2 linked regions of the Nothobranchius furzeri genome follow. Each later gene encodes a partner of the first gene's protein in a complex. Links are inferred from orthologs where the notes say so. Each region holds a gene or a part of one and is shown on either strand. Other genes may lie near its edges.

Region 1 (4,318 bases):
GACTGGAGAAGTGTGTGTGTGTGTGTGTGTGCGTTGAAGTTATTTATGGCAGATCTACTTTTAGTGTTCAGCTGGGCTGGAGCTGTCAGAGCAGGGCCCGGTGGGCCATGCTAAAGCCTCCCATCTTGTAGCCTTCAGCCTTTTGCTTCAACTCAACATTACGTTCTTTAAAATGTCTGTTGGCCTAGACAGTCCTGGGGGTCGGTATCCAGCACGTTTTAGTGGTTTCTCTGCTCCAACACTTGATTCAGTGATTGAATCACCAGGGCAGCAGCTCAGACCTGTTATTTCCTGCTGATTGAAATCAGGTGTGTTGAAACAGTTAAAATTAAAACGTGCTGGATACTGGCCCTCCAGGCCTGGAACTGAATATCCCTGGCCTGGTGTGTGTGCGTGTTTTGTAAGGGGTGGTAAACCACTAAAATTAAACATTGACAAAACCAAACCAGCTCTGACTGACCTCTTTTTTGAATGCCAGTCCCTTTATACGCCCGGTTAATAAACAGACAAGAAAAAATATTAAGATGTCATTATTCCGAATAATCCCAGTGTGTTAGCAGCTGTAGGAAGTTACTACACCATGAAGAACATCAATCGACTAAGAACGTGAAGTGTGGCTGGAACAAACGTTCATTTAAAACACCAGCAATTCTCGTTTTTCATCACCACTACCCTCAAATATTAGGAATCACAAAACCCTGAAATACACTCTCCAGTTTCACCCCAACTAATGCCAACATGACAAACATCATGTGAACCAGTGAAGTGCAACAAACTGGTGACAAAGCAGAGCCTAGTGTAAACTACGGTGAAGCAACAGACAGACTGACAGAAGGCCAAAATGTTCTCCTGGTCTGACCTGCTGACCTCAGCGTGTTTCCTGATGCTAATTAATTTCTACTTAATAACTCAGACCGGTGCCAGAGCTCGGTCTGCATCACTGGCAGTAAGTTGGGCTTGTTTCCGGTGAGAGTTGGACTCTGCCGTGGCTGCCCTTTGTCACCGATTCGGTTTATAACTTTTATGGACAGGATTTCTAGGCACAGCCAAGGTGTTGAGGGGACCTGTTTTAGTGGGGTGAGGATCAGGTATCTGCTTTTTGCAGATGATGTGGTCCCGTTGGCTTCATCAGAACGTGATCTCCAGCTCTCCCTGAAGCGGATCGTATGTGAAGCAGCCGGGATGAGAATCAGCTCTTCTAAATACGAGACCATGGTCAAGTCAGGAAAAGGGTAGATTGCCTTCTCCGAGTCAGGGATGAGGTCCTGCCTCAAGTGGAGAAGTTTAAGTAACTCTGGGTCTAGGTCTTGTTCACGGGTGAGGGAAAGATGGAGCGGGAGATAGGTGGACTGGTGCTGCGTCTGCAGTGATGCGGGCATTGTACCAGCTGTTATGGTGGGAGAGCTGACCCAGAAGGCGCTCGATTTATCGGTGGATCTACGTTACAACCCTAAAGAACGAGATTGCAGGTACAAGTGGCCAAAATGAGTTTTCTCTGCAAGGGTGGCTGGGCTCTCTCCCTTAGAGATAAGGTGAGAAGCTTGGTCATCCAGGAGGGGCTCGGAGTAGACCCGCTGCTCCTCCACATCGAGAGTGGCTCTGGTATCTACTTAGGATGCCTCCCTGGTGAGGTTTTCCAGGCGTGTTCAACCGGGAGACCTAAAGGAAGACCCAGGACATGCTGGAGAAACTATGTCTCTCAGCTGGCCAGGGAACTCTTTAGGATTCCCTTGGAGATGCTGGCCCAAGTGGCTGGGGAGAGGGAAGTCTGGGCCTATCCGCTTAGGCTGCTACCCTTACGCTTATGCTCTTATGTGAGAACCAGACCTCCTGTAGATGAGCACCTGCACCAGAACAACACAACTGGCATATTTCAGACACCTGAGCCACGAGAACCTAAAGGACGGAAGGATTTGTGTCATTTTCTGACTTTTTCATCACCTTTCTGACATTTATGAATGTTGCGGATTTTTACACTCCAAAGGCACAGCACCAACAGTCAGCTTGTATTGAGCCTTGGCTGCAGATGTTTGAGAACTTTATTAGTTTAGAGGATGTGGGGTCTCCCTCTCTCTCTCACACACACACGGAGGTGAAGCTGTTATCTGAATTCTGACTCAAGAGTCCTGGCCTTAGCATCACTGCTAACTCCGCTAGCTGAGACGGACCAGATGAGATGACATAATTAAATATACTCGCGGCCATCTAAACCAGGAACCAGTAGCCAGTTTCCGACCCAGAACCGCCCACAGATCACAGTGCAGCTAGCTGCTGTCTAGAGGCTAAGTGTGGTTAGTGGCTAAGTCCATTAACATCAATCATTCACACACCAGAACACCAACAATCTGTTTATTTCAAACCGATCCTCTTCTAGAAGGCTCGGTTCGGTTCTGTCAGTGGGCTGTTTAGACCTACTGTGGTTTTAACTAACGCTAGGTGTTTGGGTAGCCGTGCTATGTGGCTAACCTGGAGTTCGGCCCTCTCCACTTCCCAATGAGCCCGTTCCATTTCGAACCGGGCCCACTCGTGCTGAATGTAGTGTAGGATTCCAGGAATGGTGTACTGCTGCTGCGGCCGGGGCAAGTCATCGGCATTCTGCGACGCCATGACGGCTTCGATCGGTGCTTTTGCACCGCTGCTGCCCTGCTGCGGCCGCGGAGCCGCTCCTCCTCCGCCGGGATGTTCCTCCTTGTTTTAACGTTTCGTTTGGATATTGTTGTTTTATGGGAGGCTTTAGCGACAGTCCACCGTCTCTCTGCCGGCCTCGTGCCTATTTCGGCGGGACCCCTGCCGCCGACGTGGGCGGCTGCTGACCAGGAGCGTCTCAGGGAGAGCGGCTGGTTATTACCGTGGCGTGAACGAGATAATTTAACCGACTGCCATCGCCGCTCAGTCTGGATCTGACTGTCACTGTGAGAGAATCCAGCCGCGCTGCATGATGGGACATTTTCTTCTTGTACAATGATGATTAGTAAACGTTTTCGTGCATTACTGCCACCAACTGGACCGGAGGGTGTATTACCAATAAATTAGTCTTTCCTTCCGAACCTCTTTGTCCTAAAGTTATCTTATATGGAGTCTTCGCCTCGCTATAAAATGCGGTTCGTTTATCATCACTGAACTTGGACATTACAAATTCCGAGTAGGAACAGTCTCGTAATCGTACAAACTGCACGTGTGATAAGGCGGTGTTACGTCGATATGTGTTCCCCCCTCGAGATTCGGTTTCTTTTGCACCCAGCTGCGAGTTTGAACCATCCACTCGCAAAAAATGTGTGTTTCTAACCCTTACCCCAACTCTTACCCTAACCATAACCCTGAAACAAACATAAAAATTGCGCTACACATAATATTTTCTAAAATTATATTTATGCTAAACAGAAATTTTTGGTGCCAGCTGGTTAGGGTGAGGATTATTTTTTGTGATTGGATCGTAATTTGCAGCCGGGTGCAAAAGAAACAGATCTCGAGGGGGGAACACAAATCGACATAACATCACATCTTTTCATCAAAGTCTGTTTTGATGGGAAAATGTTTATTTATATAACTAATGTTACAAGTAGCGCCTGCTACTCTAAACTATAACTATTTAAGTAACTATAAATGGTGTTGCCTGGTCAGGAGGTGAGACCACCACCAGGCAAAAACAACTCGTAAAGATAACTTTTATTCATTAATTTCTAAGTGTATTCAGTTATCAACTTTAAAGTGTCTCCGCTACTACCTTTAAGCTGTATGTTTACTTGAGTCTTGATATTTATGTAGCCTTAAAATGTTCATGGATGCATTTATTTATTTATTTGTTTATTTTAATAAAAATTCTTGTCCAGTCTGGCTGTGAGAATTGAAGTCTGAATGCTGGTGACAAGCCTTACAGATTTACTCTCAGGTGGAGCATCAAAGTGTCTGCTTTTATCACGCCTGATACTTAAAACTTTATTGTTATTGTTTTGGAATGCTTTGTAATTCCGACCAGACACGGAGTCAGAGGTGAAAGAGAAAGGAAAAGAGGGGGGGACAAATAAACAATAATGAACAAGAGTTTGCTTCTAGACCTGCAGAAAGAGAAAGGGAAAAAATAATTTTAAAAAATGGGACACACAATACAAAAAGAGCAAGCTATCACTGCGTCAACTTGAAGAAATATACAATCAACATTGTTTAACTGAACAATCACACGATAATAAATCATAGTGCATTTAGTGGCAACGACAGCCTTAAGACATGTGTTGAACGTGCCCAAGCCCATACTTATGAGAGCACCATGTGAGCACCTGTGTTTGTACACACGCTTGTTTATGTAAGGTTTCTCTATAGG
Region 2 (3,821 bases), about 6.8 Mb from region 1:
GGGCTTATAAAACTACAAGGACAATGTTAAAATACAAACAGTTGTATGTTATCGTGATATTTATCAAATATTGTTATATATTGAGAAAAATATATATTTAATTATAAAAGAGAATTAAAATAATAAACACTCAAAAGTATCGAAAATTGGTACCGTTAAGTACCGGTATCGATTCCTAGGTACCGGTAATTAGTACCGGATCGATTCAAATGTCAAAGGTACCCATCCCTATGCAACACTGACCGCTACTGGAGATCCTTCCTGCCAACAGCCATTGTAATATACAATAACTCTTTGACGACTTGATTATTATTATTATCCTGAGCTACTACAGCAATCAATTTCCCTCTGGGATTAATAAAGTATTTTTGAATTGAATTGAATTTTGAACCTCACTCCCTGCTCAGTTACTATAAGATGGCAGCATGCTGAGAGTACAGATTGTTGTTGCTTTTAATTAATAAACAATCATTTTAAAGCACTGTTATTATATCTGACTGTTTTTAACAGCAATCCTAGCTCAGACACCACATCACTTTCCACATATATGTCATGAGCTCACTGAGCGTCAGATTACCAGATTCATACTGAAGTTGTTTTGCTGAAAGTAGCTTAAAGTAATGCAAAAGTAGTGTAATGCCTTACATTTTCAAATCAGTAATACTGTAATGTAATGAATTACTTTAAAATGAGGGTAACAAGTAGTAAATAATGCATTACCGTTTTGAAGTAACTTGCCCAACACTGGTTACAGCCTGAAGTCTGGAAGACATAGACATCACCAGACGTTGGGTTTCATCCCTGGTGATGCTCTGCCAGGCCTCTACTGCAACAGTCTTCAGTTCCTGCTTGTTCCTGGGGCCTTTTCCCTTCAGTTTTGTCTTCAGCAAGTGCAATGAATGCCCAATCGGATTCAGGTCCGGTGACTGACTCGGCCATTGCAAAACAGTCCACTTCTTTCCCTTCAAAAACTCTTTGGTTGATTTTGCAGTATGCTTTGGGTCATTGTCCATCTGCACTGTGAAGCGCCATCCAATGAGTTCTGAGGCATTTGGCTGAACATGAGCAGATAATATTGCCCGAAACACTTCAGAATTCATCGTGCTGCTTTTGTCAGCAGTCACATCATCAATAAATACAAGAGAACCAGTTCCACTGGCAGCCATACAGTACATACCCACGCCATGACACTTCCAGCACCATGCTTCACTGATGAGGTGGTATGCTTAGGATCATGAGCAGTTCCTTTCTGTCTCCATACTCTTCTCTTCCCATCACTCTGGTACAAGTGGATCTTGGTCTCATCTGTCCATAGGATGTTGTTCCAGAACTGTGAAGGCTTTATTACATGTTGTTTGGCAAACTCTAATCTGGCCTTCCTGTTTTTGGGGCTCACCAATGGTTTAGATCTTGTGGTGAACCCTCACACTGGTGGAGTCTTCTCTTGATTGTTGACTTTGACACAGATACACCTACCTCCTGGAGAGTGTTCGTGATCTGGCCAACTGTTGTGAAGGGTGTTTTCTTCACCAGGGAAAGGATTCTTTGGTCATCCACCACAGTTGTTTTCCCTGGTCTTCCGGGTCTTTTGGTGTTGCTGAGCTCACCGGTGCGTTCCTTCTTTTTGAGAATGTTCCAAACTGTTGTTTTGACCACGCCTAATGTTTTTGCTATCTCTCTGATAGGTTTCTTTTGTTTTTTCAGCCTAATGATGGCTTGCTTCTCTGATAGTGACAGCTCTTTGGATCTCATCTTGACAGTTGACAGCAACAGATTCCAAATGCAAATAGCACACTTGAAATGAACTCTGGACCTTTTATCTGCTCATTGTAATTGGGAGAATGAGGGAATAACACACACCTGGCCATGGAACAGCTGAGAAGCCAATTGTCCCATTACTTTTGGTCCCTGAACAAGTAGGAGGCACATATGCAAAATGTTGTAATCCCTACACCGTTCACCTGATTTGGATGTAAATACCCTCAAATAAAAGCTGACAGTCTGCAGTTAAATCACATCTTGACGATTCATTTGATATCCATTGTGGTGGTGTATAGAGCCAAAAAAAGTTAGCACTGTGTTGATGTCCCAATTTTTATGGACCTGACTGTAAATTTGACCCTTAGAGGTCCCTCGTGCATTTTTCTGTGCAGGCAGTTGTGTTTTTGAATAACTTTAGCTGTGCTGATGCAATTCTTTTTATTTTTTGCTCTGGTGTGTGTTTTGGGGGAAGTTCACTAAAAGTTCACTAAAAATAAAATCAGTCATCAGACATTAATTAGCTAATTCACTAGATTTCCTTTTCTGAACAAGAAAGCTCAACTTAGCAGCATAAACTGGACTGACTCGAGGGTCTAAAGCCAGGTAATGTGTGTTTTACACAATAAACACAAATCTTCTCCTGTTCTCTTCCATACCATCAGGGGTCACACTTACTTTCCGTCTTTGAAGTATGTTTTGAGGGTGTCACTGAAGCTTTTCGAGTACTTCACAAACTCCTTTTTCTGGTGCTCCAGGGGCTTTATGAGCATTAAAAGTAAGGAATGATTAGCAGAAGCAAAGATAAGATTTTAAACATTAACAGACATGCTCCACTACTCACTCTGCGAGTCTGGTACTGGTGTCTCTTAATGGCAGCATTGACCGAGTCCAGGAGGTCTTTTATGGCGCTTGCTATGTCTCTGTGAACAGAATGCAACTTGGATAAGAAACAGAACTTCAAACCAACTACTCAGAATGAAACACGAGGCTCTATGTTTACATAACAATCATTAAAAGTGTTCTGATATCGACTTGGGAAGAACCTCAGAACTGATTTCTCTGATCCACAAGATATTTAAGGTAACTTGTCTCTAGATCAGGGTATTCAATTCTGGGCCTGGAAGGCCGGTATCCAGCATGTTTTTGTGGTTTCTCTGCTCAAACATACTTGATTTAGTGGACGAAGCACCTATGGAGCCTCTATGCCCGGCATTGAATACTCTTGCTCTAGATCAGGGGTGTCAAATATGCGGCCCGCGGGCCGGATGTGTAAACTTTATTTTCATACTTTACAATGTAGAGTTAAAATAAACTTATCTTTGTGAGCAAGTTTTCTCTGTAATGAGTATAAATAAAACAAAGCTGTGCTCAAGGCCCACACAAGAACTTGAGTCACATCCTGAAGTTGGCTGCCACTCGGGATGTGACTTCTGATATTGATGTGCTGGTGAAAGCTAAAAGATGTAAAGTAAAATGAGTCAAATATACTTTAAGTGCTGCATGAAACTGATCTTGCCATGTGATCTGTAAGCTCTTTGGATCACTAAGGAATGTTTTTATTTGTTGATTTTTAAATTTTTTTCAAATTTTCAAGTACACTTCAGGTGTTGTACTTGTACTACACTGTCCTCAGGCTCCAGCCTTGTTTTATATTGACTGTATTAAAACAAAGAAAACAATCTGAAGTATTTTTTAATTTACCGGTCCGGCCCACTTGGGACTAGATTTCCCTCAATGTGGCCCCTGAGCTAAAATGAGTTTGACACCCCTGCTCTAGATGGTTTAAAAACCCGTGTGTTAAGTTGCAGACACTCACTTGATAGTTTGTAGAAAGCGTACTCTGTCATTGATCTCATCTGGGATTTTGCTAAGGATGTGTTTCAGTGCTCTGGCCTTCTCATTTACGTCCTGGAACTCCTGCTCAGGCCTGTCGATCATGAACTCTGCAGGAGAACATTCCCACAGATACATTTATCAACACGCTCAAAAAAACAAACATGAAATTAGGGCGAGAAAACCCAAAACATCGTTTCCTTAACTTACCTTCAACATCATCCGCC

The links.
Region 2: strn3 (region 1) and programmed cell death protein 10-B share a complex: the UniProt entries of both Homo sapiens proteins name them as parts of the core of STRIPAK complex. The link is inferred for Nothobranchius furzeri from reciprocal best matches to the Homo sapiens genes STRN3 and PDCD10.

Annotation. Positions count from the first base shown.
Region 1 is NC_091758.1:17,977,067-17,981,384, reverse strand, and holds the start of strn3 (striatin-3), read right to left. Parts: upstream 2,961-4,318; 5' UTR 2,608-2,960; coding exon 2,467-2,607; intron 1-2,466. UniProt on the Homo sapiens protein: Calmodulin-binding scaffolding protein which is the center of the striatin-interacting phosphatase and kinase (STRIPAK) complexes.
Region 2 is NC_091758.1:24,820,525-24,824,345, forward strand, and holds part of programmed cell death protein 10-B, read right to left. Parts: coding exon 3,805-3,821; intron 3,705-3,804; coding exon 3,578-3,704; intron 2,682-3,577; coding exon 2,603-2,681; intron 2,520-2,602; coding exon 2,437-2,519; intron 1-2,436. UniProt on the Homo sapiens protein: Promotes cell proliferation. Modulates apoptotic pathways. Increases mitogen-activated protein kinase activity and STK26 activity. Important for cell migration, and for normal structure and assembly of the Golgi complex.